Cricetulus griseus: one gene and its partners. The protein of the gene in region 3 interacts with the protein of the main gene of each other region in a pairwise test. Links are inferred from orthologs where the notes say so. Each region holds a gene or a part of one and is shown on either strand. Other genes may lie near its edges.

The links.
Region 1: the proteins of Golga2 (region 3) and Rab39a interact in binary tests that used the Homo sapiens proteins (3 or more experiments, as listed by UniProt). The two-hybrid records come from large-scale screens. The link is inferred for Cricetulus griseus from reciprocal best matches to the Homo sapiens genes GOLGA2 and RAB39A.
Region 2: the proteins of Golga2 (region 3) and Ndn interact in a two-hybrid assay, tested with the Homo sapiens proteins (2 studies listed by BioGRID and IntAct). The link is inferred for Cricetulus griseus from reciprocal best matches to the Homo sapiens genes GOLGA2 and NDN.
Region 4: the proteins of Golga2 (region 3) and NTF2-related export protein 2 interact in binary tests that used the Homo sapiens proteins (3 or more experiments, as listed by UniProt). The two-hybrid records come from large-scale screens. The link is inferred for Cricetulus griseus from reciprocal best matches to the Homo sapiens genes GOLGA2 and NXT2.
Region 5: the proteins of Golga2 (region 3) and coiled-coil-helix-coiled-coil-helix domain-containing protein 2 interact in binary tests that used the Homo sapiens proteins (3 or more experiments, as listed by UniProt). The two-hybrid records come from large-scale screens. The link is inferred for Cricetulus griseus from reciprocal best matches to the Homo sapiens genes GOLGA2 and CHCHD2.
Region 6: the proteins of Golga2 (region 3) and Scaf8 interact in binary tests that used the Homo sapiens proteins (3 or more experiments, as listed by UniProt). The two-hybrid records come from large-scale screens. The link is inferred for Cricetulus griseus from reciprocal best matches to the Homo sapiens genes GOLGA2 and SCAF8.
Region 7: the proteins of Golga2 (region 3) and CUNH1orf35 interact in binary tests that used the Homo sapiens proteins (3 or more experiments, as listed by UniProt). The two-hybrid records come from large-scale screens. The link is inferred for Cricetulus griseus from reciprocal best matches to the Homo sapiens genes GOLGA2 and C1orf35.

The regions. Positions count from the first base shown.
Region 1 is NC_048597.1:165,444,173-165,448,174, forward strand, and holds the start of Rab39a (ras-related protein Rab-39A), read right to left. Parts: upstream 2,801-4,002; coding exon 2,574-2,800; intron 1-2,573. UniProt on the Homo sapiens protein: The small GTPases Rab are key regulators of intracellular membrane trafficking, from the formation of transport vesicles to their fusion with membranes.
Region 2 is NC_048596.1:135,134,389-135,137,009, forward strand, and holds Ndn (necdin), read right to left. Parts: upstream 1,479-2,621; coding exon 501-1,478; downstream 1-500. UniProt on the Homo sapiens protein: Growth suppressor that facilitates the entry of the cell into cell cycle arrest.
Region 3 is NC_048599.1:144,039,367-144,043,344, forward strand, and holds the end of Golga2 (golgin subfamily A member 2), read left to right. Parts: intron 1-212; coding exon 213-458; intron 459-538; coding exon 539-614; intron 615-757; coding exon 758-900; intron 901-1,100; coding exon 1,101-1,301; intron 1,302-1,379; coding exon 1,380-1,482; intron 1,483-1,580; coding exon 1,581-1,687; intron 1,688-1,763; coding exon 1,764-1,920; intron 1,921-2,009; coding exon 2,010-2,224; 3' UTR 2,225-3,478; downstream 3,479-3,978. UniProt on the Homo sapiens protein: Peripheral membrane component of the cis-Golgi stack that acts as a membrane skeleton that maintains the structure of the Golgi apparatus, and as a vesicle thether that facilitates vesicle fusion to the Golgi membrane.
Region 4 is NC_048604.1:38,305,658-38,309,861, forward strand, and holds the start of NTF2-related export protein 2, read right to left. Parts: upstream 2,801-4,204; coding exon 2,712-2,800; intron 1,759-2,711; coding exon 1,674-1,758; intron 821-1,673; coding exon 734-820; intron 1-733. UniProt on the Homo sapiens protein: Regulator of protein export for NES-containing proteins. Also plays a role in mRNA nuclear export.
Region 5 is NC_048597.1:109,162,794-109,167,070, forward strand, and holds the start of coiled-coil-helix-coiled-coil-helix domain-containing protein 2, read right to left. Parts: upstream 2,801-4,277; 5' UTR 2,690-2,800; coding exon 2,640-2,689; intron 1-2,639. UniProt on the Homo sapiens protein: Transcription factor. Binds to the oxygen responsive element of COX4I2 and activates its transcription under hypoxia conditions (4% oxygen), as well as normoxia conditions (20% oxygen).
Region 6 is NC_048595.1:284,508,845-284,512,344, reverse strand, and holds part of Scaf8 (SR-related and CTD-associated factor 8), read right to left. Parts: intron 2,434-3,500; coding exon 2,289-2,433; intron 1,076-2,288; coding exon 1,007-1,075; intron 1-1,006. UniProt on the Homo sapiens protein: Anti-terminator protein required to prevent early mRNA termination during transcription. Together with SCAF4, acts by suppressing the use of early, alternative poly(A) sites, thereby preventing the accumulation of non-functional truncated proteins.
Region 7 is NC_048600.1:73,266,675-73,270,904, forward strand, and holds the start of CUNH1orf35 (multiple myeloma tumor-associated protein 2), read left to right. Parts: upstream 1-1,430; 5' UTR 1,431-2,929; coding exon 2,930-3,174; intron 3,175-3,313; coding exon 3,314-3,359; intron 3,360-3,456; coding exon 3,457-3,539; intron 3,540-3,614; coding exon 3,615-3,687; intron 3,688-3,793; coding exon 3,794-3,879; intron 3,880-4,230.

The DNA of each region.
Region 1 (4,002 bases), on a different chromosome or scaffold from region 3:
CTCCCTTTCCCTACTTCCTAGACACACAGTGGCCTTTACTAGGAATCCTAAGTAATGTATAAACCAAATCAATACCCCTGATTTTATTATTTTATTTTTTTATACAGGGTCTCACTGTGTAGCACTTGGTTGGCCCACAACTTGGTTGGCTAGAACTCAGAGACTTGTTTACCTCTCCTTCCCAAATACTGGGATTAAAGGCTTGTATTACCATGCCCAGTGTTGTTCCCCTTTGAGACAAGTCTGGTTGTGTAGTCTGTGTTGGCTACACAAGATCCTCCTGCTTCAACCTTGGAGAGATAGGCAAGTGTCATCATACTCAGCTGATCTTGTCCCATTTTGTTTTTCAAGTGGTTAAAATCCACTAGAATGTTAACTTAAATACTGAAAGGAAAACTAGTTATGATAATTACCAGCTGGACATTTCATTATTCTGTAATATATTTGTTTATGCTTTCAAACTACATCATGAGCTCTCTAAAGTAAGCTCCTCTTTTGCTTTATGACTAATGACCAATAAATCTTCTAATAAAATAGTTCCCACAAATTCCTCAGGGGCTGATTGCAATGACAGGCATATAGGTCCAAATACCCTTGAATGTAAGAAAACATGCCAGGAGATCCATGATTCAAAATAAATATCTGCATTTCTAGAAGATGTGAGATGATTTAATCATAATTCTGTTGAATGCAGTTTTATGGTGAAGTATTTTGCTAAATGCTAGAAAGGCAAGTATTGTAGGTAGCTACTGAAATATGTATTTACGAATATATCATTGGTAAAGAGCCAAGCAAAACAAAGTATGACTCATTGTAAACATTCTCCAACTGTCCTTGCATTATTATGGGGGCAGTTACTGGGTGGTTTTAATAATGTATATATAAAATGAATTGCTATTTATATTCTTCTCAAAGGCATTACAAAACTGTCAACTAGCAAAGGTCTTTGCATTCTAACAGATTAATGATCCTTTATTTTCCTGTCAATAGGTTGAGGAATTACTTTTAAGTAAATAGTCGTGGAAGATTTTACTACCTTTAGGGCAGAGCAAGCACTCCCGGTAAATGCCCCCCCCCTTGAAATATCTCAAATTTCAACCCTGAGTAAGATCACAAATGGAAGACGCTGTAGCCCACCTCAAAAGAGTGGTTGAACCGGAAAGAATCTTAGAAATCATGGGGATATCTTCATTTTACAGATGAGGCATAGCAAGTTTTACAAACTGTTTCAATCAGAGGAGGCTGATTGAAAAGGGAACACAAATGTCTTCATGGAATCCTAAACAAAATAAAAAACCTTTAACACCTGTGAAAGCTAGGCTTACCACACAAAAGTAAGAAAACTAATATACAAGCAAGCAAGGCAGTTCCCTTATTATCTCTGTGAATTAGTGTCAGACCCAGGAATGGAAGCCAAAATTTTCAGTGTTGGACTTTCTACAGATGTAGGCTGCACTCATCCGGAATGGATGCTGGTTGGGAGTAGGGGAAGCCATGTTTGGGAAGTTCCTTAATGGAGTTCTTTATTTCACAAGCAGAGTACTTACTGAGAGATGTGAAAATGCTTGCCTACAGGAGTTCAGTTGATCGGGTGATTTTCAAGAAACGAAAGAGTACATTACCAATTTCCTTACCTCGCTGTAAAATAAAGCACTCTTCCATCCCAGAAACTGTAAATACCCTTTAAATGCGATATGATCTCAAATATCCAAGGAATTCAGTTCCTGTAACGTCAGTCCTCTTTGTACAATCTTTCAGGTTCCTCAGTGGACATTTAGAATGAGACTATTTACTTGAGACCCTCTTTCTCCATTTAGAAAAGTATTTTCTCTTGTTATCATGCCGGAACGTTAAGTACCGATCAATGAAATAAAGGGAAAGTTGCAGACAAACCTCAATATTATCTTTTTTACATCAAAACACCAAAGATGACAAACTTTTAAAGGCAACTTCACCCTACAAACACACACACACACACACACACACACACACACACACACACACACACAGTTGTGTCGGTGACTCCGAATCTGCATTTAGTTGTTTTCCAGAACCTACTCCCAAGGGTCATGACCCAGTATTTTCTGATGACCACACTTGGTGCTGTCAGATGTTCAAACCAATTACCGCATGCATCTCTCTGTGAACCGTACCGAGGGAGCCCAGGCCACAACCCCGGCTGGACTTCTGCTTGCTGAGAACTAAAGATTTATCACAGACCAGGGAACCCCACTAGGCGTTTCTCCTGGCCCGAAAGAGGCTTGGTCAAGGCTGAAGAGGGGAAGCTAGGAGGAAGGTCGTTGAATAAGGGCGTGTGTGCGAAGTCGAGTTTCGGGAGAAGGCAGCGGTGGACCTAAAGGGACCCAAATGCCTAGAGGAGCAGATAGAGCTGGGGAAGACTAGGCGACCCTGGTTCGGACAGGGAAGGAAACAGAAAGGGAAAGGGGCAGGAATCCGCGCTAAAGAAAGAAGAAACTGCGGAGGAGGAAGTAGCCCCTGGAAGGGGAGGGGCGAAGGGGAAGCGAACACTGAGCGCTAGCACTTTCGAGAGCTCGTAGCTGGTGCCTCCCTACCTGAAGCGCTCCTGCCCTGCGGTGTCCCAGAGCTGCAGCTTGATCCTCTTGCCAGGCTCAATCTCCAGCAGGCGCGAGAAGAAGTCGACTCCAACCGTGGGGTCGCAGGCAGGGGAGCGCAGCCCTGGGAAGCGGCCCTGGGTGAAGCGGTGCAGGAGGCACGACTTGCCCACCGTAGAGTCCCCGATCACGATGAGGCGGAACTGGTAGATCCAGATAGTCTCCATGGCCTATGTGCCCCGCGCGTTCAGGGGCAAGTTCTGCCACGGGAACTGTCCCTTCAGCACCTCCGCGGTGCGCGCCCGCTGGCTTCCAGCATCTTCCTGCGGCGGCGGCCGCCGCCTGGTCGCCGCCCTCTGGGTAGGGAGGGGCGGGACCGCGGGCAGGGGGCGGGGACCTGTTCTGCCTGGGGTGGGGCTTGAGGATAAGGGCGGGGCCACAAGTTAGGGCGGGACGGCAGGTAGAAGTGTTTTCAAGAGCTGGAGGAGGGGATCTAACTTGCAGAGGCGTTGTCTCGGGCTGAGGGTGGGGCCCCAACCATAAGGGGAGGGAACTGACGTTCTGGGGACCGGTCCTCGAGCCTACGGGGCTGGGGGCTCTCGGACGAGGGGAGCGTGGCGAGAGCCTCCGCCTAGGATGTGGGGAAATGGGAGACCGCCAGACTACTGTAAGGCACTCTAGTCCAGCTCTTGCTGGAAGCGGCCCAGGAAGTGGGTGTGGCGAAAGGAGGTGACAGCAATAGTAACCAACGAAAATGTATTGGAGATCTAAACGCCAGAAAGTTCAGCCAATGGGAAGTGAGAGTCATTTTCTCTCACGCATCTCGGTGGGCCCCTCATAATAGGACTCTGATCTCGGAAGTAGGCAAGGCGCTAAGGTGTTTCTGTGTGTGGATTCGTGGTGTCCTGGTTTTCGGAAGACCTCAGTTAGCGACTCTCTGCTGAAGGAAACAAATTTGCAGACCTGGTTCTGGTTGTTTCTGTTTAGGACTGCCTGTTGCTTTTTGCCACAGCGTTTTCAGGATTAGACAAGTAAGAGAAACGTCCGGTTCTAGTCCTATGCTCGTGGGGCTCTCCAGCCCGGGAAAAAGGTGAAATGTTGAGACGCTCATACAAGTCATCATTATCCTCTGCCCAAAGCTGCTCTCCGCTTGCGTATGGCCAATCTACTAAATGAAACAGAACTTAACTTTTGGTGAGATCTTATTATGTTCTTATCCCTTCCCTCAGGTTTGATGATAGCTAATTCAAAAGTTCTCTTCTTGCTCAGTTGATACAGTTGTTTAGCAACATGAAACCCTGGGTCCAGCCCCCAGCTCCATATAAACCAGTGTGGTGGCCCACAGCTATAATGCCAGCACGTGGGCGCATGATGACCGAGTTATAGGCCGATTTAGCTTTTAAAGGTCAAATCAAAGTTCAACAGCTTT
Region 2 (2,621 bases), on a different chromosome or scaffold from region 3:
ATACATGTTTGGTAGGGTGTGCTAAGTGCCTACACTGAGAACATTCCAGTTCAAATCAGTCCATTCCACAGGGATGCTTCCTGTGCCAGTTGAGTTCATATAAGAGGGCCCTTGACCTTTCTCTGGTCAGGCCTGCTTTGCTCACCTCCTAACTCTCCTGGGCTTTTATGTTGATACAGATCATCACTTTCATACAAAGAATAGATACACAACATCTCAATGGATTTCACAGGTTCAGCACAGCACATCTCTTGTACAAAAAAGCACAGAAGTGAAAGCATCCACTTGCTTACTTGTAAACGCACATGCATAAATCCTTAACACGCTCCAAGCGAACACAAATGAATATATTGCATTGAAAGGTACAAAAGCACTGTAAGGAAAACTTAAAGGTTACACATGAAATACTGCACTGTGAATGTGGAATACTCTAATGACCCAACCCCACCCTTATACAGCCCAAGTATGGGTCAGAAATTATCAACATGCTGGGGACCTTCCTAATCACCAGAGACACTGCTGCGGGGGCAGTGGGCAGCAAGATTAGCCTCCCGCAGAGCTCTGGCCTGCTCCAGAGCCTCTCGGTAGCGGGAGGGCCAAGCCTGGGGATCTTTCTTAAAGACCCTGGCCAGGAACTCCATAATCTGCATCTTGGTGATTTCACGGTTGGCTCTGGACCCCCAGAAGAACTCGTACTCAGGAGGATCGCTGTGGGGAACAAGCTGGTACTTCAGGTAATTCTGCTGGACGAACTCCTCGGTGATAATCTTCCTCACGTCTCCGAAGGTGGAGTGCTTCTTCCAGGGCCTCAGTCCCAGGATGTGCAGCACATTCCAGACGGCTCCCTCTCTGGCCCCGCGGCCCTTCACGTAGATGAGGCTCAGGATCATGAGCAGGAGGCCTGTCATGGGCATACGGTTGTTCAGCGCCACTCTGTCCAGTTCTGCTGGGCTGAGGGCTTTGACCAGGGCGAACTCCATCGTGTGGATATTGGTCAGCCTCAGGTGCAGCCCAAAAACTCTGGCAAGGATGAGGCTGGTGCGCCGGAGGATGCTTCTGCACCATTTCTTGTAGCTGCCCATGACATCTTTCACCATGTCTGGGAACCAGAGGACCATCCTCTTCTGGTCCTTGACCAACACGTACCACATGAGCTCGTGCGCCTTCTGCACCACCTGGGCCGGGGCGGGTGGTGTTGGCAGCTGACGGACCGGGCTATCGGGATTGTGGGCGCGGCCCTCCTCTATGGCCTGCTCCAGAATCTTAGGGTCAATATCTTCTAACCTTTCTGGAGGCGGCGGCGAGGCCTGCCGGGCTGCCATAGGGCCTTCAGGAGCTTCTGGTGCCTCTGCGACGATCGCGGCTGGAGATGTGGGAGGAGGGACCCCCACCGGAATCTCAGAGCTCTCCTGCACCTCGGAGTTGGCGGCATCAGGTGCAAAGTTAGGGTCGCTCAAGTCCTTACTTTGTTCCGACATGTCTGCGCCTTCTGATCAGAGCAGGACCGCTGCGACTTGGAGCTCTTGGAACCAGCACTCCCTCAGTGGACACCAGCAGAGGAAGTGCGCTTTACTGAGAGCTGTGCCTTCCGCAGCAGCGGCCGGGCGGGGCGGACTTGACACTGCGCATGCGTGTTGGCAAGCCAGAAGGGTGGTAGGGCTGGATAGGAGCTGAGATGCAAAGCCCAACCACTGGGGTCTGAGGGAGGGTACCACTAAACTAATGGGAAAGATCTCCAGGTCTCCTGGGTGAGCTAGAAAGAGATGGTGATGGGGAAGGAGCAAGTTTAAGTAGAAAGATGCAGCTGAGATGGTGAAGTCAAGTTAGAGCACCTTTGAGTTTTTGTGTGAAAGGGGGTAGACTGGCTAGAGAGCTTGGACTTTCTACAAAAGAGTGAGACAGTAATGAGTTTTTGATTTTTTTTTTTTTTTTTGGAAGTGCGAGCATTGTGAAGATAATGTGATGTTTAAGATTGGAATGTTGAAAAATTAATAGAGCAAATCTTTACCAAACCTGAGTCCAGATCCAATACGGAAGAATATAAAGTGTCATTACAGACACTGGAAATCAGCCCAAGTGGAATTTGAATGTTTTGGAAGTAATAAAATTATATAGCATAATTGGTGTGTGTTTAAACATTTTTTTATTGGGATGGGAATTGGCTCAGTCCATGGGTAAGAGCATTTGTAGTGCAAGTGTGAGAACCCTAGTTCAAATCCCTAAGACTCACAAAAAATGTAATGGCATAGTCTGTGTTTGTAAACCCTGCTCTGAGAGGTACAATTAGGAGAATTACAGGCATTTGCCAGAAACCAGCCCAAGTTTAGGTTCAGTGAGAGATCCTGTCTCAAAGGAATAGGGTAGAGAACAATAGAGCAGGATACACAACACCCTTCTCATAAATTTGCATACACTTACACAATATACACATATAATTGACACAAATAAGAGTTTGTCTTTATACACAAGCACAATATGCAGTAAGCAAACTTGCATAATTAACACATATATCACTTTAACCTTTAGGGATATTTAAAATTCCTTTTTCTATCTCCTTAAACATGTATAGCTGAGTACACCCACTGCACTTTGTTATAGTACACTACAGAATATTGTTCCTA
Region 3 (3,978 bases):
GTTTCCTCATACAAGTGTTGAACATTAACTGAGAAAATGTCCATAGACTATTGGGCACTAGTGGTTTGTGCAGAACAATATAGATTGGTTCCGTCAGCTCTTCCATACCTAGGGCCTAAAGAGGTGAGAAAGGTGTGAGGCTGCACATAAAGGCATGGGCCCAGGGTGTGGAAGCCAGCCACTGCCTGCACTCAGGCCTAGCCTTCCTGCAGGTGGAGCTGAAGAGCCAAGAAGCACAGAGTCTGCAAGAGCAGCGAGACCAGTGCCTGTCCCACCTGCAGCAGTATGCTGCTGCCTACCAACAGCACTTGGCTGCCTATGAGCAGCTGACCTCTGAGAAGGAGGCAGTGCACAAGCAGCTTCTGCTGCAGACACAGCTCATGGACCAGTTGCAGCATGAGGAAGTACAGAGCAAGATGGCAGCTGAAATGGCCCGCCAGGAGTTGCAAAAGACCCAGGTGAGGCAGTTGCTGAGGCTGGGCCCCAGTAGGAGGACCTTGCCACCTCTGTACCTTCTCACTCTTTCCTGGCCCCTTAGGAGCGCCTGGAAGCCACCAGCCAGGAGAACCAGCAACTCCAGGCCCAGCTGAGCCTCTTGGCTCTCCCTGGAGAAGGTAAGACCACACAGGAGAGGGGAGACCCTGACTGACTCGTAACAAAACGGAGTTGATGTCTTTGGAGAAGCTTTGAGAATGCTTGGCATTCTCTAGTCAGTGGCTGGGGTACAGAGGTGGGGTCCTGAACTGTCTTCCCTTAGCCCACTCTGTCTACCTGTTGGGACTGTTAGAGGAGACAACCTACTGTCTGCCCCCAGGAGATGAGGAGCAGGAGGAGCAGGAGGAGGAGGCTCCTCGGCCTAGTCTGACCATCCCAGAAGACCTAGACAGTAAAGAAGCCATGGTGAGCTGGGTTCTGCCCTGCCCCTTCTCTTCCCTGCCTCTCTGGTCCCTTGAGTTCTTGCCCTCTCATTTCTTATCACATTTGCCTGGGAGCCAGTGGTCAGACACTCTTGCATCTGAGAATAAGTGCTCCCTCTCTACCTTCCTGCCCCTTTTATCCTAAACATCTCCCTAAGAAGTACACCTCTTCCTTGTGTGCAGGTGGCTTTCTTTAACACAGCTATAGCCAGTGCTGAGGAAGAGCAGACCCGGCTACGTGTACAATTGAGAGAGCAGAAGGCACGTTGCCGAAGCTTGGCTCACTTGTCCACCCCAGTCCAAAGCAAGATCCCCAGTAATGTGAGTGATTCTGTGTCTGAGGAGAGCAACCAGGCCCTACATGTAGCCATGGAGAAGCTGCAGGTCAGTATGTCTTTGAGAGCTGGGAGGGTGGGGCCAGCCAGAGCTCCTAAGTCTCTGAGACCTCTGTCTTGGCTCCAGAGCCGCTTCTTGGAGGTCATGCAGGAGAAAGTGGAGCTCAAGGAGAGGGTAGAGGAACTCGAACATTGCTGTATCCAGCTCTCTGGAGAGACAGACACCATTGGTGAGGCGGAACCCAACCTAAGGCAGTTGAGGTACACAGGGACAGATTGGGAGAACCTCAATGTCTGAGCCTTGTCTACCTGTCTCCCATACCCACAGGAGAGTACATTGCCCTCTACCAAAACCAGAGGGCAGTGCTAAAGGCTAGGCATTTGGAGAAGGAGGAGTACATCAGCAGGCTAGCCCAGGACAAGGAGGAAATGAAAGTAAGCCCCACACTTCTGTGGTCTAGGCCCAGCTAGGCTAGGCTAGGCTACTCAATTTGATTGCCTTTCCCTCCAGATAAAGCTGCTAGAGCTGCAGGAGCTGGTGTTGAGGCTTGTGAATGAGCGCAATGAATGGCAGGGCAAATTCCTGGCAGTCTCTCAGAACCCTGTTGATGTGCCCACCCCAGTGCCCACAGGCTCCCAGGGATTTGGAGCTGCTGACCAGCAGGGTGGTGAGTAGCGCCTTTGGCTTGGGCAGGCACAAAGGGGAGTACTCCCATAGCATGTAGAGCCCTGACACCCCCCTCCCCTTTCTCTAAAGACCTTAGGGAGGTGAGCCTGGCCGACAGTATAGAGCCTGCACAAGGAGCGCCGGGGGCACTCACTCCCCCTGAGAACCCCACTGCACAGCAGATCATGCAGCTACTGCGTGAGATCCAGAACCCTCAGGAACGTCCAGGCCTGGGCAGCAATCCTTGTATCCCCTTTTTCTACCGTGCTGATGAGAATGACGAAGTGAAAATTATGGTTGTCTAAAAGACTGGCAGCCAAAGGTTCTGCCCCAACCCACTCCCTCTTCAGTCACCCTTATCCTTATAATAATAAGGTCAGACTCCACCCCCTCAAGGGGCTGAGGAAGTAGCTCAGTTGGTAGAGTGCTTGTCTGCCGGGTCCCACCCCAGTACCTCTGAACTGGGGGTGCTGAGAATTCGAGCACTTGGGAAGAGGAGGCAGGAGAATCAGCCACCCTGGGCTACACTGAGCCCCTGTCTGAAAAAAAAAAAAAAAAGATCAGACTCCCTATATTAATGTGATATACAAACAGGGACAGGCCCTGTGCCCTCTTGGCCAGGGCGATTTTACTTTCTAAAGTCAATGATTGAGCAGACTGCCTCTCTGGGTAGCCTGGTGGCTTCCTGACCAAGCTCTCTTTAGTTGGAGGACCACAGTCCTTACTCAAGACACTGGGGCAGAACAGTTTGGCAGCATTTTCATGGCCAGGTGCAGCACAGGCTGGTAGATGCAACCTAGCAATCAGCAAGAGAGCTCCTTTGTCTTACCATCTTTCATTACCTTCCCTCCTTCTCCTTCCCACCCCTTTCTTTATTTTCTGATAGTGTCTCATATATCCCAGACTAACCCTGAGCTCACTACACACTGACCTTGTGACTCTCCTGCTCATCACTGTGCCTGGTGTTTTGCAGTGCTGAGCAGGCACTCTACCAATTGATTTACACCCCAGCACTACCTACTTTTTTCTTAAGTGTGGGAACACTGGGGATGGAACCCAGGGCCCAGCACATTCCCAGACCAACTCCCATCTTCTTAAAGGCACTTTAGGGAGTGGGACTGGGCAGCATTTCCATGGGTTCCCAGGCAGTTGGGCTAACTGCCTCTGGAAAGCATCCCACTTAGGAGGGCTTCCATCTTTTTAGAGGCACTTTGGGACAGGGAAATTGGGTACTATTCTCTCAGGCCTTATGACAATTGGGGTAACTGTATGCCAAGCAGGATAGAGGCTCTTGGGGGGGGGGGTTTCCCCTCTCCTGGTGTACATATTGTACCTGTGTACCATTTTGTATATTCTGGGGTAGGGACACCCTCTGTATTATAGTAGAGGTTGGAGCTGGCAAGTGGGGAGGAGATTCTAATAATCACTTGGGGCTGGGAAACTTATTTATTGGTAGTGTAGGACAGAGGACAGGAGGCGGAGATGGGGTTGTAGCATCCTGCTGATGCAGCTCCTCTTTATTTTGCTTTTTACTTGGGAAATAAATGGATTTAGCCATACTTCTGGGCCTAGGATGTTTCTGTCACTGGATTCTGGGGTTAGCCTCAGGTTGGCACTGAGCAGGGAATATGTCCTGCCAGCAGAAAGCAGGTCTGTGTGGAGCCCAAGGTCTGAAGTGCCTAGCAGGGCTGATTGGCACCCATCATCTGTATACTGCATACTGAAGCCGAGGGATCCCAGAAGGAGTGCCATGGGGCTACACAGTCAAGCCTGACCTATATGTAGGTGGAATACCTAAGGGTGCTGACTTCCAAGCCAAGCCTTTTCCATTCTGTCGCCCCTTTCCCCTAGCCTATCCATACATTGGGCCTGTTTTGTTCTCCTTCAGGCTGCAGGCCCCCTCAGCTCACAGGACCTGACTGAGTTCATGGTCCTGCCCCCTAAGAGTGGAAGCAGTTCATAAGATGAGGCCCTGATAAATTCACCTTATAGCACCCTAGCAAAGGGCTCTTCCTCACCCTGTGTTCAGCGCCCAGTGTTTACACCTTCCCCTCTCCCC
Region 4 (4,204 bases), on a different chromosome or scaffold from region 3:
AGAGGCAGAGAATACACCCAGCTGACCTTCCTCCTCAGCCAATACCCCAGAAGCCTCCCCTAACTCCTATGCCTTCTCAAACAACATGCCTCAAAAGGAATGTCCCTCCCTTCTATTTCCTGTGTGTCTCTCTATCCATCTTCCTGACTCCCTCTTACTCTACATGTTTTTTTCTTGATAATCCTATGTTTACTTCCTGTCAACTGGTTGGTTGCTCTGCCTCTTGACCTATGGTTGACCTTATTTAATCCTGTTTACAATATGCAAGCAGAAAACAATTGGGTTAAAGGTATATGCTAAGCCTGAGCCACACCACAGCTAGAAACAGGTTTTTCCAATAAATAATGCAATCTTGGGGTTCACAATGTGATCAGATATCCTATGTTATATTTTTATTATTTAAAATAATTTTTAAATTTAAATATATTTTTGATCATATTCTTCCTTTCTCCCAGATTCTTTCCCTAGCTTCTCAAGTAGCAGTTTTCTCAAAAAAAATCAACCAAGCAAAAAAAATAATACAACAAAAAACCCCAATACCAAAAAACCAAAATACCCCAAAAGAAAAATGAAAACAAAATACCAAACTATAAACAAGTATAAACAAACTGTAAACCAGTATAAACAGGTCTTAAAGAATGTGTATACAGCAATTACTTATGTAGGTCAGATAAATGGTATTTAAACAAATGAATGGTATTAAACAAAGAACAAGGGAGACTATAAAACTTACATGTCTTCTTTTGTCCATTGTCTCATAGTAAATATTGACAAATTCCTCAGCAGCTCTACATGCCTGATCCACATGAGTTTTAAAATCCTATGAGCAAATTTTCACAATGGTAAATCATAATCCTGCAAGCTCAAAATAGGCACTATAAAGCTATATGCAAAATCAGCTATCATATAAATTTGAGTATTTTAAAGATCAAGGCATAAATGTTTTCAGCTTTAAAAGCAAACTGTAGCTAGTTTTTAGATCCACGTCTTTAGAACATATTTATCTCCCCTTTTTTCACTCTTCACATATAACTCTGGAATCTTTGCTTGGCAATTAAGTAAAAAAAAATTCAGTATTTTACAAAACATTCACCTACCACAGGAATAGTAACTCGAGAGTGGGTGATGGGTGTGGGTGGAGACAAGGTGTTGGTGGACAGTCACTGAGTAAGTGCTAAGTTTCAACTTATGACCAAGCTTGGAAGTTATTTTCTTTTTTTTAAGTATGACTTGAAAGTCTAAGCAGTCCCACTTAGAAATTTTTCTTACATTATATAAACATTCATGGGCATTTGTAAATGAATTGCAAAAACCAAGAAATGAAAGGCCTCAGAGTTCTCACAAGATCCCCAATTAAATAACTTTGTTTGCCCTTCACTTTTACTGAGAAAGTCCTATTCCTTGAATTAAAAATAATTGCCATTTGTGAGTGATCAGGAGATTCTGATTTTTAAAGCGCCAACAGAAAGGTTGATACTGTAAGCCAAAGATGACTTAGCCTCCATCCTCCTTCCTGCATCTTTTCTAGGAAGAGGAGGGGAGCAAGTCCCGCCCCAGGGGCTGGCGGGCCAGATGCTGATTCGCCAGTTGCTCACATGTCCAAGCTCCTGCCTCCCATCCCTTTTGCTGCACATGTCCTAGTTCCTCAACACTCAATGGTGTCACACACTCACCACAGCCATGGCCATTGGAGAACTTGAAATGGCATGCTCCTTCAGGGCAGGTGTCAGTACCTCCTCACGTGTCTGGCTCTTTTGGCTGCAGAAGGAGGAAATGTTTACAAAGAAAACGAGACCCGCCAAAGACACAGATTTTTAAACCCGCCCATTATATCCTAGTGTTAAAACCCCCTCAAAGTTCCAATTTTAAGTGGCCAATCCTTTCAGTTGCAACTGGTTCCATCCATCTGTTTAAATTACTTCCAAACTGTTTACTTTGCATAAAAGAGAGAAACAAACAAAAAACCAACCAAAAATAAACTAACAAAACAGCACAACACAAATAAAACAACCCCAGCCCAGCTCCCCGCCCTGGTACAAGTTAAAATCAAAAGTTGCAATTACAGGACAGCTTTATCCCATGAGGCGGGCCCAAAGCTTGAGGGCCAATGAGAAACGGAAAAACCTAGGTCAGTAGCCAATAGGAAAAGGGGGCAGGACTTGAGAACCCGCTCAGAAAAACCGCTTGCTGCACGAGGGGTTTAAAAGAATTTAAAATGTAAAGTTCGGGAATATTCTCCATTTTGACCCTCTGCTACTAACGCCTTGTTTGGATAACTAAAAATTTTCCTGTGCTTAACAATCATTTTACTAATTCCCTTCACACCGAAGGGATTAAATGTCAAGCACCACCCCGCCCCCCAAAAAACAAACCCCACCCAAACCAAAACCCAATATTCTGTGGTGTATGGTTTCTACAGCTTATTCAGAACAACCTGACCAGGGACCGTTAGTAGTGACCATAAGCACTTTTCTAAGTAATTTTATCCATTTTCAATTATTTATGGCAACTATGAGTTAAATACTATTTTATCATCACATTATTAAAACAATCAGTGATTAAACCGTGTCTAGATAAGATTTAAGCTCAAGTAATGATAAATGCCATGGCAAACTGGTTTCAGTAGCCCGGCGCCCTTTCTTAAAACAGTTAATCCCAAAGTGGCCACGTCAGACATCTAAAATTTGAATCAAATATTTCTTTGAACTTACTATCTGTAGCTTGTGTGTGGCTCGCGAGAGGAATAGCCAGACCTTCCATAGTGTTTGTCCCCACGGGACCAGTCACTATATTTTTTCATTCTCAGCGAGCGTTCACAAAGGTACCCACAGGAACCGCTTTCTTCTCCAACTGCGCGCCACTCAGCTTCAGTTCCTTCCGGTTTGCCCACTATGATGCTGACTGCCTTGACTCATTACTTCCGGGGCAGCTACTACCACGTGACTCTCTATGGCTCTTTATATGGTAATGAACTACAGTTTTGTAACTTTGGTTCTACCTCTATGGAGCTCAAATTGTACATGTGGAATCTTTCTAATAGTGAAAATGGGAATGTTCTGCCATGTTTCTCAGACTCTCAAGTCCAAAATTTAAACTGATTTTTTTTTCAGTTTATTTCTAATCTATATTTTCTTAGTGATGCATGAATCTGCATTATTTATTGATTGAGTTTTGGTTCTCTTCTTATTGTTCATTCCTTCAACAAATATTTATCATCATTTACTGTGCTCCAGGCATTGTGCAAAGCTCTTGCTACCAAGCAGTGTCAAGAGCGGCAAACAAGTAACTACTGATACATTTTAAAGGAATTCCAAGTAATGAATTCTGAGTAGCTAGTTTCGGCCAATCTCTAAAACATTTTCTACCTTATCTTTCTGTGTCTCTGCCTTTCTAACCCCTCTGCCTTTTTCCTTCTCTCCTCCTTTCTCTTCCCCTCACTTTTACCTCTTCTAAGGTTAGTCAGTGTATCCTCACCCCCACAATTACCCTAATATTTAAAGCCTACTTTGATGTGATTTTATTTTTCCTAGAGTATTCTCTCAAATTTAAAAAAGACTAGTAAGCCACATTTTTCCACAAAATGACTCCTGTTCATTGTTATATCGCTATTGGCTTTTCTTGAATGAGGAAAGGTATTTTTATATGATTTCATTCAATCCTTACAAATCAGACATAGATATTAATATGACCCATATTTTTAAGAATTTGAGATGAAACTCAAAGAGCAAAACAAACAAAAAAATAACCTTTGCTAATATGATGCAGCTCTGGACTGGAGAAGTAGCTCAGTGATTAAGAATACTTGTTCAGAATACTGGGTTCAGTTCCTAGCACCCATGTTAGTCAGCTTGCAACTGTCTGTAATTCTAGTTCCAGGAGATCAGACATCTTCTTCTGACTTTTTTGGCACCTGTGTGTGGTACGTCTTCATACATTCAGGCACACTCACATGCACAGAAATTTTAAGACGAGATGACACAGCTATTGAACCCAGAATTTCAGTCCCAAATTGTCTAATCAACACGTTGTGCTATTTATTCATTTACTTGTATATTACTATGTCTTCTTTCTTTTTGATTTGTTTACTTCTTTTTCTTTTTGATTTGTTTACTCCATTTCTATCTGTCCTTCAGGTATCAGGGCAAGTTTTATCATTTTTGTGAAGTTTCCCTCATTTCATTTTTCTAGAAACATATAGGATGCC
Region 5 (4,277 bases), on a different chromosome or scaffold from region 3:
GTTTTCATGTATCCACATGGCCCACAGTATCTTTAAAGAACAGTTATTCCAATACTCCATAAAATCATCAGCTATTGAGCTGGAGAGATGGCTCAGAGGCTAAGAGCACTGGTTGCTCTTCCAGGGGTCCTGAGTTCAATTCCCAACAACCACATGGTGGCTTGCAACCATCTATAATGAGATCTGGTGCCCTCTTCTGGCCTGTAAGCAGACATGCAGGCAGAACACTGTATACATAAGTAAATAATTAAAAAAAAAAATCTTATCGTACTCTTCTGCCGTGCAGGCATACATGCAGGCAGATCACTGTATACTAAGTAAATAAAATCAGCTATTAAGTTGAAAAGGTAGAGAAATGCTCAACAGTAAAGACTGCATACTGCTCTTAGCCCATGGTGAATCTCAGCTCCAGGCCACCTGACACCTCTGGCCTCCCAAGGCTCACAAACCCACCTCTCAAAAAATGGTAACAACAACAAAAACAAACAAAAAGATTGGGAACTCAACCAGGTATGGTGGCACACGCCTTTAATTCCAACACTCCAGAGGCAGAGGCTGGCAGATTTCTGAGTTTTAGGCCATCTTGGTCTACAAAGTGAGTTCCAGGACAGCAAGGGCTACATAGAGAAACTCTATTGCGGGTGAGGGGATATGATTAGAGCTTGGGGAGTTCATGCTTGGGGAGCTCACTGGTGAAAGGTGTTTGCTGCCAAGCCTGAAAACCTGAGTTAGAATCCTGGAATCCACAAGGATGTTTACTTCCCACAAACTGCCCTCTGACCTTCACACAGGTATACAGACATAAAACAATTTAGAGCTTGGATTAGCAGAGCATTTTCTGGGCAGGCATGGGACTCTGGGTTGACTAAACTAGAAAGAAAATATACAGAAGGCATTGGCTTGGCAAAATATACCTGTAGTCCCAGCTATTCAGTGTGTGTGTGTGTGGGGGGGCAAGATCATTTAGCACATGGCTTTGGGACCAGCTTGCACAATGTAACGATAAAAAAGTCAACAAAATCCAAAAAACAGTCATGAGGTAATGCTCAGAATGTACACCAAGACCTTCACTTTACCAATCACAAAAGGTTAAGGCAGCTGGGTATGGTGTGGTGGCCCACTCCCTTTAATCCCAACATTCAGGGGGCAGGAGCAGGTGAATGGATCTGAGTTCCAGGACAGCCAGGGTCACAGTGAAGCCCTGTATTAAAGAAACAAAACAAAGCACCAATCCAAACCAAAAAGAAAAACTTAGGGACAATGACCTGTCTGAACTGCAACTTTTTTAGCTCTTGTAGACTGGTCTCGAACTCAGAAATCCACCTGCCTCTACCTCCCGAGTGCTGGGATTAAAGGCATGCACCACCAACGCTCGGCTCTGAACTGCAACTTTTACTAATCTTATTTCTCGTTTAGTTTTTCCGAGCCTGGGTCTCTCTATAGATAGCACCACTGCTATCTTGAACTGGTGCCTACCCTTGCCTTTAGGGAGACAGGAGCATGGAGAGCTATCTTGGGGATAGATGGGGCATCTCTTACCATATACAGTCCTCAGCCTCCCTCCCATTACAGAAACAATCTTTAACTTTCTACAATTATATTCCCCAAAACGAAACATCTGGGGTTTTTTTGTCTAGTTTTGTTTTCCGAGACAGGGTTTCTCTGTGTAGCTTTGGAGACTATCCTGGCACTTGATCTGTAGATCAGGCTGGCCTCGAACTCAGAGACCTGCCTGCGTCTGCCTCCCGAGTGCTGGGATTAAAGGCGTGCACACCAATACTTGACCAAAAAGAAACATCTGTATTCCAGGCGCTGTCAACAATTTCTACTTATCTACCCACTTCCTGTGGGCCGAGGAGATCTCTCAATAATGTTTGCAACTAAGTGTTAAGATATTCTGGACCAAAGTGGTGGAAGGAAAGGGCCTATACACAGGTATTTAATTTTCTTGTAGACACCTTTAAAGCCTGTAATCCCAGCCGTAGGGAAGCGGAGTCAGGAAAATCAAGGCAGACTAGCAAGGCCTATCAAGTTCAAGGTTAGCCGGAGGACCTCACACACACAGTAAAAGAAAACCACCCCAGGCAGGCAGTGGTGGCGTACGCCTTTAGTTCCAGCATTCGGAAGCCAGAGGCGGCTGGATCTCTGAGTTTGAGGCCAGCCTGGTCTACAGAGCGAGTTCCAGGACAGCCAGGCCTGCCTACACAGAGAAACACTGTCTCGAAAAAAGAGAGAGAGAGAGAGAGAGAGAGAGAGAGAGACGAGAGAGAGAGAGAGAGAGAGAGAGAGAGAGAGAGAGAGAGAGAGAGGAGAGAGGAGAGAGAGAGAGAGAGGAGAAACAAAATTAATAAGAAAACCACCTCTAGACCTCCACATAAATCATTCTTCCTCCGCCTCTTCGTAGACTATGTCCTCTAAGGCCCTTCCCCCCAAGCAGTGGAGGAGAAAGTTCACGCTTTAGCGTCCTCTGCCGTAGCGCACCGAGGGTGTCCCTGTTCCCGGGGAGCCCTCTTCCCCAGGAGCGGGTCCCTTCCTCATTGCTCGCCCTGTCTCACCACCCGCCGCCTTCGCAGCTCTCTGGCTACGCAACGTCACCCTGGCCGCCCGCTCTCAGTCCCCAACCCCGAGGAGGGTCTCACCTGGCCGGAGGGGCCACCCGGGAAGAGCGGCTTCGGCTTCCACGCGGCATCCTGGGTGATCAGACAAGCAGAGTCCAAAGACGAGAAACTGCGAAACACCCACGAGCGTCCAGCAACTTCTACCAAGGAGAACGGAAGGCGGGAGGCGGGTTCTCAAAGGGCAGCCAATCAGCGCTCAAGAGAGCACGAGCGCTGAAGGTCATTGGGAGATGAAGACATCCGTAACGGCGAACGCCCTGGTGCCGCGCCCTACGCCGGGAAGTCTAGAGCTTGGCGACCAGGCCCCGTAGCTAGCCGGAAGTTCATGGGGTTGCGCTCTCAAATCTTGTCCCCCGATTCTGTGCTTCATTGCTAGGTTTTTGCTTCCAAGGGACGACCTGCTTCCCCAACAACTCATGCTTGATTTTAAGATCCACCTGCCTCCGCCTCTCAAGTAAACTGGATTGGGGGATTACAGGCATATGCCGCCATGATTACTGAGTTAACAAGGTTAAATGCAACCTTGACTGAGTCATCTCTGCCTTGTCTACCAGAGGGCCTTGGGCTGTTTTTTTAACCCTTCTCAGATTGTTTTGTTTTGCGACAAGGTTTCACATAACGGGTGTTGGCCCGAACTCGCTGTTCTCACGACTCAGTTTCCTAGTGCTGGCGCTGCAGGAGAAACTCATACTAAAATTGATGTTGTAAAGGATTTACTAATAAACTTGCTTAGAAATATTAAGTTAAACAAAGTAGAATTTAGCCCGGCGTTGGCGGATCTCTATGAGTTCGAGACCAGCATGGTCTCCAGAGCGAGTTTCCAGGACAGTCTCCAAACCTACAGAGAAACCCTGTCTCGAAAAACCAAACCAAACCAAAACCAAAACAAAGTAGAATTTAGCTAAAGGAGCGCTGCCTCCGGTATAACTGGAAGACAGTGTACTAACCAGGCTTATTAGAAACTGTGGGGAAGGGGTTGGAGAGATGGCTGCTCTTCCATAGAAGCCGGGTTCAATTCCCAGAACCCACATGGCAGCTCACAACTTGTCTGTAATCCTAGTTCCAGGGGACCCGACACCCAGGGCAAATCATCAATGTGTACAAAATAAAAATGAATAAACTTAAAACAAAGAGAAAGAAACTGTGGTGAAGAAAATTCTGTACCTTCATTGAAGTTTCAGGTGGCCAAGAAAGTTTCTGATAATGTTTAGTCAACAAGGTTGACCTCCAATTAGGTGCCATTCCCATAATAAAAGGAGGCCACCCTGGCTCAAAACTAGCTGTGAGATCCATTCCCATATCTAAGAACATGACTTTAAAGAAATGGTTCTTGGGGCTGGAGAGATGGCTCCGAGGTTAAGAGCACTTACTGCTCTTCCAGAGGTCCCGAGTTCAATTCCCAGCAACATGGTTGCTGGCTCACAACCATCTGGTGATCTGGTGCCCTCTTCTGGTGTGCAGATACACATGGAAGCAGAATGTTGTATACATAATAAATAAATAAAATCTTAAAAAAAAAACAAAAAGAAATGGTTCTCTCTCTCTGTCCTACTCTGTTCTTCCATTTCTCGGTCTCCCGTCGTAATAAACTCTATGATTAATATACTCTTTATGCTCTCCATGGTTCATGTTCCATAGAGTGTGCTTTTAATCAGAAAT
Region 6 (3,500 bases), on a different chromosome or scaffold from region 3:
CTCCCTGCATTCCAGTCATATCCACTCTGCACTGTGCATGCTTTCAACTGGGAAAGGTATGGTATCTAGCCTGACTCTCCTGTGCACCACAGGGGAAAGGTATGGTATCTACCCCGACTCTCCTGTGCACTGCGCCTCAAGGTAACTAAGTACCATAAACTGGTAAAGGTTTTCTTTACATTTGAAAAAAAATCCTAACAAAGGAATTACTATTTAGAAAGACAACCAATTTGCAATTAACGGCAGATTTAACCCACAATAATCAATAAACAAAAACTATCATTAAAAACCAAACAGGTAAACATTTTCAACAGCCGAGTTGCAATACCCAAATACCCTCAATCTTAACACTGTTAAATATGTATGAAAATACCAAGGGTAAACAAACCCTAATACAAAGTATGCATACGAATAATAATGAACATATAAATTCATCTTCTCTAAGTCTCATTCTTGGGGAATGATGATAAGACAAGTTGTGCAGACGTGGGGACAGGGCACACAAGTAATTTCTATACTTCCTGCTGCGTGCCACAATTCTCAGACTGCCATGAAAACTAATGTCTGTTTTGTTCATAATATGAACTAAAAGACACTAGTATGACATAATCGTTTTGCTTGCATTCCTATGAGAAAAAGGTGATTCAGAATCTAAGCAAATCTTTGGTGCTAACTTCCACCTTACAGGGATCTTGTACCCAGAGGAGTGACTTGGTAGTCATCAAGACTATGAAGCGGAAAGGAGAACTGGGCAGCATGGCTCTAGATGAGACATTTACAATAAAACAACAAAACAACACAGCAATGATGGGAATCTTGACCAAAGGAAGTAGATTATGGAAATACATTTTGGGACAACGGAGGAAAAACAAATAACTTCTGAGATACTATTAATTTTCAGAATTCTCTACCATGCATTTGTTGGAAAACTAACATTTTACAGGAATGAGCACAAACACACTAAGTCTCTCTCAAGGATAAAACAGACTTTATATCAGTAACTCACATGTTGGTACTACTGGTGGAATTGCAGGGGGAGGTACCACAGGTGGGGGAACCGGAGGTGGCATAAAACCTACATGGGAGGAAAAAAGACCAAAATAAAACAGCATATGTTTAAATCAAAGGGCTCAAGATTTGTGAATGAACTTCCACATTTTCTTATTGTTTTACCATGGGGTCCTTACTCTGCTACTCAGCTGGTGTGGAGCCTGTGAGCTAAGTCATTCTATTTTAACCTCCTGAGGAATGGGGATGTTTTGGAATGTTATTTTAACTATGTAAAGATGTGTTACATTTGTTTATAATGAGAAATATTACTTTAACTATATAAAGGTGTGTTACATTTGTTTATTCTGTATTTGCTTAACAATGTAGAGATGTGTTGATCTGCCTGCCTAAGGTACCTGATTGGTCTAACAAAAAGCTGAACAGCCAATAACTAGGCAGTAGAGGGCAGAGCTGGTGCCCAGAGAGAATAAGTAGGAGGAAGAATCAATGCACAGGAGAGAACTAGAAGAGAGGAGGAAGAGAAGGAGATACCCTGGGCCAGCCAGCCAGGCACCCACGAGCCAGTCAGATATGGAATAGGACATACAGAATCAGAGGAAGGTAAGAAGCCCTAAGGCAAAATATAGATGAAGAGAAGCAGGTTAAGTTATAAGAGCTAGAGGGACAAGCATAAGCTAAGGCCAAGCATTCATAACTTCTGTAATACGTGATTCCTATAAGCCAGATAAATCAGTGATCCTGATCATAGCATTCCATTTACTCACACTCACTCACTCACTCACTCACTCACTCAAAGTCTTGTAAAATGCTCTGCATCGCAGATCAGTGTAATAAGCTAGAATCAACCTATTGTTGGAATGCTGACCACAGGGAGAGTGCTAAATCTATCTCAAGCTACCTACCGGTCACAGTAGATAAAATAATGCTATCCACCTGTCAACCATTTCATTTATTTGACACAGTACACTCTTTACTGCTAGGTTAAAACATTTTGGTAACTTTAGATGATATGATGTGTTCTTGAATAAATCTTAAACTATAATGGCATGTTTATGATTCTACAGACCACATGACCAAATTATATAAATCTGCTTCTTTGCAATTTTTACAGGTAGAGTCACTATTAAATTAGAAAACAGTGAGTCAAAAGAAAAGCAGATGAAAGCTGTGACTCAATGGATCAAAAGTCTGGAGAATGTACCCTGCTCTATGGCACTGAGACCGAGAACACCAACCATATTCTAAGCAGTTAAAACAGGAAGACATAAACTCCTTACCAGGAGGTGGTTGTGAAGGGTTAAAACTTGCTCGTAGAAAAGGAGGTGGAGGGATTGGGCTGAATCCAGGAGGGGGAACCGGCATTGACACAGGAAACGCTGGTGGAACTAAACTAACTGCAGGAACTGCTGGCGCTACTGGAATCTTTTGTAGGTAGAAAAACATCCATTAGCCAATTTATCCACCTGAAGTGCTTACTACATTTTGGCATAATAACACAAAATTACAGCTTTTAAAATGGAAAGAAATAAATGTCATTACATTTTAAGTTTTTCTCTTTTCGTATACTTTTAAGTGAATCTACCCAGGGTTAAAGCAGCCAGTATGAGTCAATAGTTAATTCACCTGGAGATTGTAAGGTATCTCTTACATTCAAATGAACTAGTAAAACCTAAGATAAGCACTAAAACTCAGGCTAGTACTCATGAGTACCTGCCCACCAGGCTGCCTCTGCGAAGCTCAAATAGCAGCTTTCAAAGAGCACCAAATTCTCCAAACTTTCTTTTCAAATTTTAACACAAATATCTTTGATTCATCATAGTTACAAAAAGCCCCAAACTTCCCTCTGGCATGGCTTTATCTCTTTCCTGAACCTCAACCAAGTCTGCTCAGCATTTCAACGTCATTGCCTAAAGAGTACTGTAAAGGTCACATGCAGAGAAAATGAATTCCCAATTTTTATTCCCAAGAGACCGCTCCTCGCATTATTTTCTAGTCTTAGAAAATGGTAGCTCCTATATGACTAATTTCTTGGACCAAATATCTTCCTCCCCTTTTTTCACAACTCCAAATCCAATAGTCTAGTAAGCCCCACCAGTTGTACCTTCCAAGTCATCTACCATCTGCTACTTCTCTTTACTTTTGTTAGTCTTCTTAATCACAATCACTTCTCACCTATATTGACTGTTGAGTTTTCACTCCATGTCTTCTTTTATAAATGTTCAATGTGGCCTACTCACTATAAACATTATCCACTGCAATCCTTTACAAGTCATTTCCCTGAACATCTCCTCCAGTGGTTGCCTTCATTCAGAATGAAGACGAATTTCTTTGAGAGCTGAGCTTACAGGCATGACTTGCAGAGGCAAGGAGCACCATGAAATATCCTGGCAAATGACCTTCAGTGTAGACTTCTGCTTGTAATGCTCTTGCTCAGATTCTGGAACAGCTCATGTCTTCACCACCTAGTTGTTCAACTAGGTGCACCCCCT
Region 7 (4,230 bases), on a different chromosome or scaffold from region 3:
ATCTTTCCTGGGAGATGGCTGGTTTGCTCCTTTTTTACTGTGGCCCACATGACTGCTGCTCCCTTAACTGTGCAGCTCCCCTTGGGTCCATCCATGTAATACATCCATCCCTAGTGTGATCTTGTTCTTTTTGTTTGTTTTTATTTTGAGACAGGGTTTCTCTGTGGCTTTGGAGGCTGTCCTGCAACTAGCTCTTGTAGACCAGGCTGGTCTCGAACTCACAGAGCTTCGCCTGCCTCTGCCTTCCGAGTGCTGGGATTAAAGGCGTGTGCTACCACCACCTAGTGTGATCTTGTTCTGAGGGATCTAGTTCCAGCTGTGTCCTCCAAAGCCAGGATATGAACTCAGGGCTTGTACTAGGTGCCTCACAAGCTGTTGGCAGGTTCTCAGCATGTGTTCAGAATGAAGACATGAACAAAAATGGGGTTGTCTTGGTCTGTTTGGGATGACAGAGAGCACCAGGTTGGATAATTTTTCAAACTAGGGATGGAACTTGAGACCTCTCTATCATTAAGATGTGGCTCTGTTTCTCTTTCTTATGTTGAGGCAGGGCCTTGCTAAGTTGCCCAGACTAGCTTTCAGATCTCTTTGTAAGCCTAGGCAGCTCTTGAACTTCCAACCAACCTTCCTGCTTTAGCCTCTTGGGGACCTAGGATTACAGACTCTTGTCACCAGGCCCAGTTCAGACTGGGTACTTTAATTAGCAGAGTGGCATACACCCTATGGCATGTGGGTGATTAAATGATAAATTGTGTAAGTTGGTTCTCTCCACCATGTGGGTCCTGGGGATTAAACTTGTTTCAGCAGGCATGACAGCAAGAGCCCATACCCACCCAGCCATCTCACCAGTCATGGGTACTTTATAAATAGTAATTTGTTCTCACAGTTGCAGATTTTATGCATGTTTTATCTTATAGAATATGTGAAGTTTCAGGGGCTGGAGAGATGGCTCAGCTGTTAAGAGCACTGACTGTTCTTCCAGAGGTCCTGATTTCAATTCCCAGCAACCACATGGTGGCTCACAACCACCTTGAATGAGATCTGGTGCCCTCTGCTGGCATGCAGGCAGAAGACTGTATACATAATAAATAAATAAAATCTTAAAAAAAAAAAAAAAAAAAAAAAAGAATATGTGAAGTTTCCCCAAAAGCAGTGGCAGAGGAGTTCTCACAAGGGAGTGATCCAGCTGCTCTCAAGATAGGTCCCTAAAGAAATACTAGGGTGAGGTGTAGTAGTTCACATACGTTCTTTTTTTGGTTTTTCAAGACAGGGTTTCTCTGTGGCTTTGAAGGCTGTCCTGGAACTAGCTCTTGTAGACCAGGCTTGTCTCGAACTCAGAGATCCACCTGCCTCTGCCTCCCGATTGCTGGGATTAAAGGCATCTGCCACCAACGCCCAGCTCACATATACTTTTAATCGAAGCACTTGGGAGGTAGAGGCAGATGGATTTCTGTGAGGCCAGCCAGGGGTACATGGTAAAACTCTATCTCAAACACAAACTGAGAGAGGTTGGCCAAGTTGCCTCTCCTGATTAATTCTGGGAGAACTGGAAACCAGGGGGCTTAAGGCAGCCCAGCACTTGAGTTCAATCTGCATGACAAGGCTTGTTTTTTTTATTTTTCACCTCCTTTGAAAACAAGAGCTACAGATTTACAGTTCTGCAGGGGAGCCTGCTTCACAGGCCAGCATGCTCAAGGTTATGTAAATCATAACAATGTCTGTCTTCAGAAAAACAGTCGAGGTATAGGAACATCACCCTATTCTGTAGAAGCTGAAGAAGGTCCCAGGCGTTCTTGTGTTCCTTCCCACATTTGTTTACATTCCAAATTCCCTTTTTGAGAAATATTAACATGGGATGTTCCCATGTTCATGTCAAATTCATTATATCCTCACCACTCCCCAAAACAGTCTGGATGCCAGCACTATAGAGTTGGGACAACAGATCTGTTCTGGGTTCTAGACAGCTAACATCTCATTTTATATTAGAGACTGAATGTAAGTGAGTTCTCCAGGGTTCCCTTCGTAGGGGCACTAATCTGTGAGGCTCTGCTTCATTACCTCAAAGGCCCAGCCTTCAAATATAACCCTAGTGGATGTTTTAAAAATGATAATAGGGGTGTGGGTTGCCACACAGTCTATTACAGGCAGTTAAGGCTAAGACTATAATGCAGAAAAATTGCACTCATTTAAGCTTTAGTCCAGACATCGACTTGATCGTTCATTGGCTGCCAGGTAAAACTAATGATTCTTCCAGAACCAAATGACAGTACTAAACCTGTATTCAAAGAAGCTTAGTTACTCGTTATTCTTGGTCATGCCCCATCAGAACAAATGCAGTTAGCTCTGTTCTTCGTACTTCATCAGTAAAGTCACCTGCAGAAAACACAGATCGCTCTGGTTTAGGGAAGCTTGTGCTTTGTGGCCTTTATCTCACTTTCGTGACACAATGTGTCATCCAGTACACAGAAGAGTTGATCTGCGTTTCTTTGGGGGCTTTAATCGCCACTCATGGTCCCAGGGATTTACTTCATCTCAGCTCTGACCTGGGACCCCCACTCCTTTTGAGTTAGCACGCCTGGCTTTTGTCCGGCCCTGGCCCCTCCTGGTGTCACCAAGGTTTGTTGGCATTCCAATCCACCGCATGACACTGAGATCAGCAGCCGTTTCTTCGAGGAGCTAGTGCGCAGGCGCACGTGGAAATGGGATGAAGATGCGCCTGTGAATGAGTTACTACTTGAACACCGGGTGGAAAGAGGGCTCTCGAGGCTGAGGTTGCCCGAGCCATGCAGAGCGCAGGCGCGCGGACACCTTAGTGAGACGCGCAGGCGCACAAGTGACGTCACGGCGAGCGTCCGGCGGCCGAGTGCTGCGGGAATCTGACGCTCGGGCTGCGGGTACTGGAGATTGTGCAGCGAGCGGCTCCGTCGCCATGTTCGGCTCCAGTCGCGGCGGCGTGCGTGGCGGACAGGACCAGTTCAATTGGGAGGATGTGAAGACCGACAAGCAGAGGGAGAACTACCTAGGCAACTCGCTGATGGCGCCAGTGGGCCGCTGGCAGAAGGGCCGCGACCTCACCTGGTACGCGAAGGACCGCGCGCCGTGTGCCGGCCCGAGCCGTGAGGAAGAGCTGGCGGCTGTGCGCGAGGCGGAACGCGAGGCGCTGCTGGCCGCACTGTGAGTTTCTGGGCTGCGGGGCGACTGCGAGCTCCGGGGATGGGATCTGGGTGGCCCCGGGGCGGGGCTAGATGTAGGCTGGGCAGGGGAGGAAGGCTACGGGCTCATGCCCCTTGACGTGTACCCTCGACCCTCGCAGAGGTTACAAGAACGTGAGAAAACAGCCCACCGGCCTGAGCAAAGAGGTGAGTCTGGGGTGCGGGTTCAGGGTCCTCAGGGCTGGCGGGGCTCTATCTGTACCGGCCTAGAACCTCTCCCCACCCCCACTCCCCGCTTCCTCAGGACTTCGTAGAGATCTGCAAACGGGAAGGAGGCGATCCTGAGGACAAAGGCGTGGACCGGCTGCTGGGCCTGGGCAGCGCCAGGTGCGGCGGGTTGGGTAGAAGGGGGCAGGACTGGGCGGTGGTCCAGAACTGTCCTCAATGTTCTGTCTTTTGCAGTGGTTCCGCAGGCCGTGTGGCACTATCCCGGGAAGACAAAGAGGCTGCCAAGCTTGGGCTGTCAGTGTTCACGGTAAACTGTCGGCCCAAATGCTCAGGATCCTGGGCTTGGGGATGTCTGGGGAGACGTGGGGCGGGACTCCCTGGGTGTCCCTCCCTACAGCTGCGCTTCTATATAGCACCACCGCGTGGACAGCGAAGGCCCAAGCACCACCCCATCTGCTGCCAGGAAGAAGCCTCGTGCTGAGGACAAGGCCGAACTGGAGTAAGTTGAGGAGTCTGAATACTTATTCTACCTACTCTGTGTGTGCGCTTTTGAGTCTCTTGCTGGCATCCTATGTGAGTTGTGCACACTGCACTAAGAGTGTATTCACAGGAGATACTGGGTGTCCAGACCCACAGGTATACTGGGAGGTTAAGTGCCAGGTCTTTTTTTTTTTTTTTTTTTTTTTTTTTTGATGGAACCAAGCACTGCCCTTAGTTCTTTTGGCTTTACTGAAGTTGTTGGGCCTCCACCTCCAGGCTGGATGTGCCTGCCCATCCAGATGCCTGAAAGAGGGAGTGTCTCTGTAGCTGCCATTGAGGGCCAGCAAGGGTGATGGTTGCAAACAGGAAG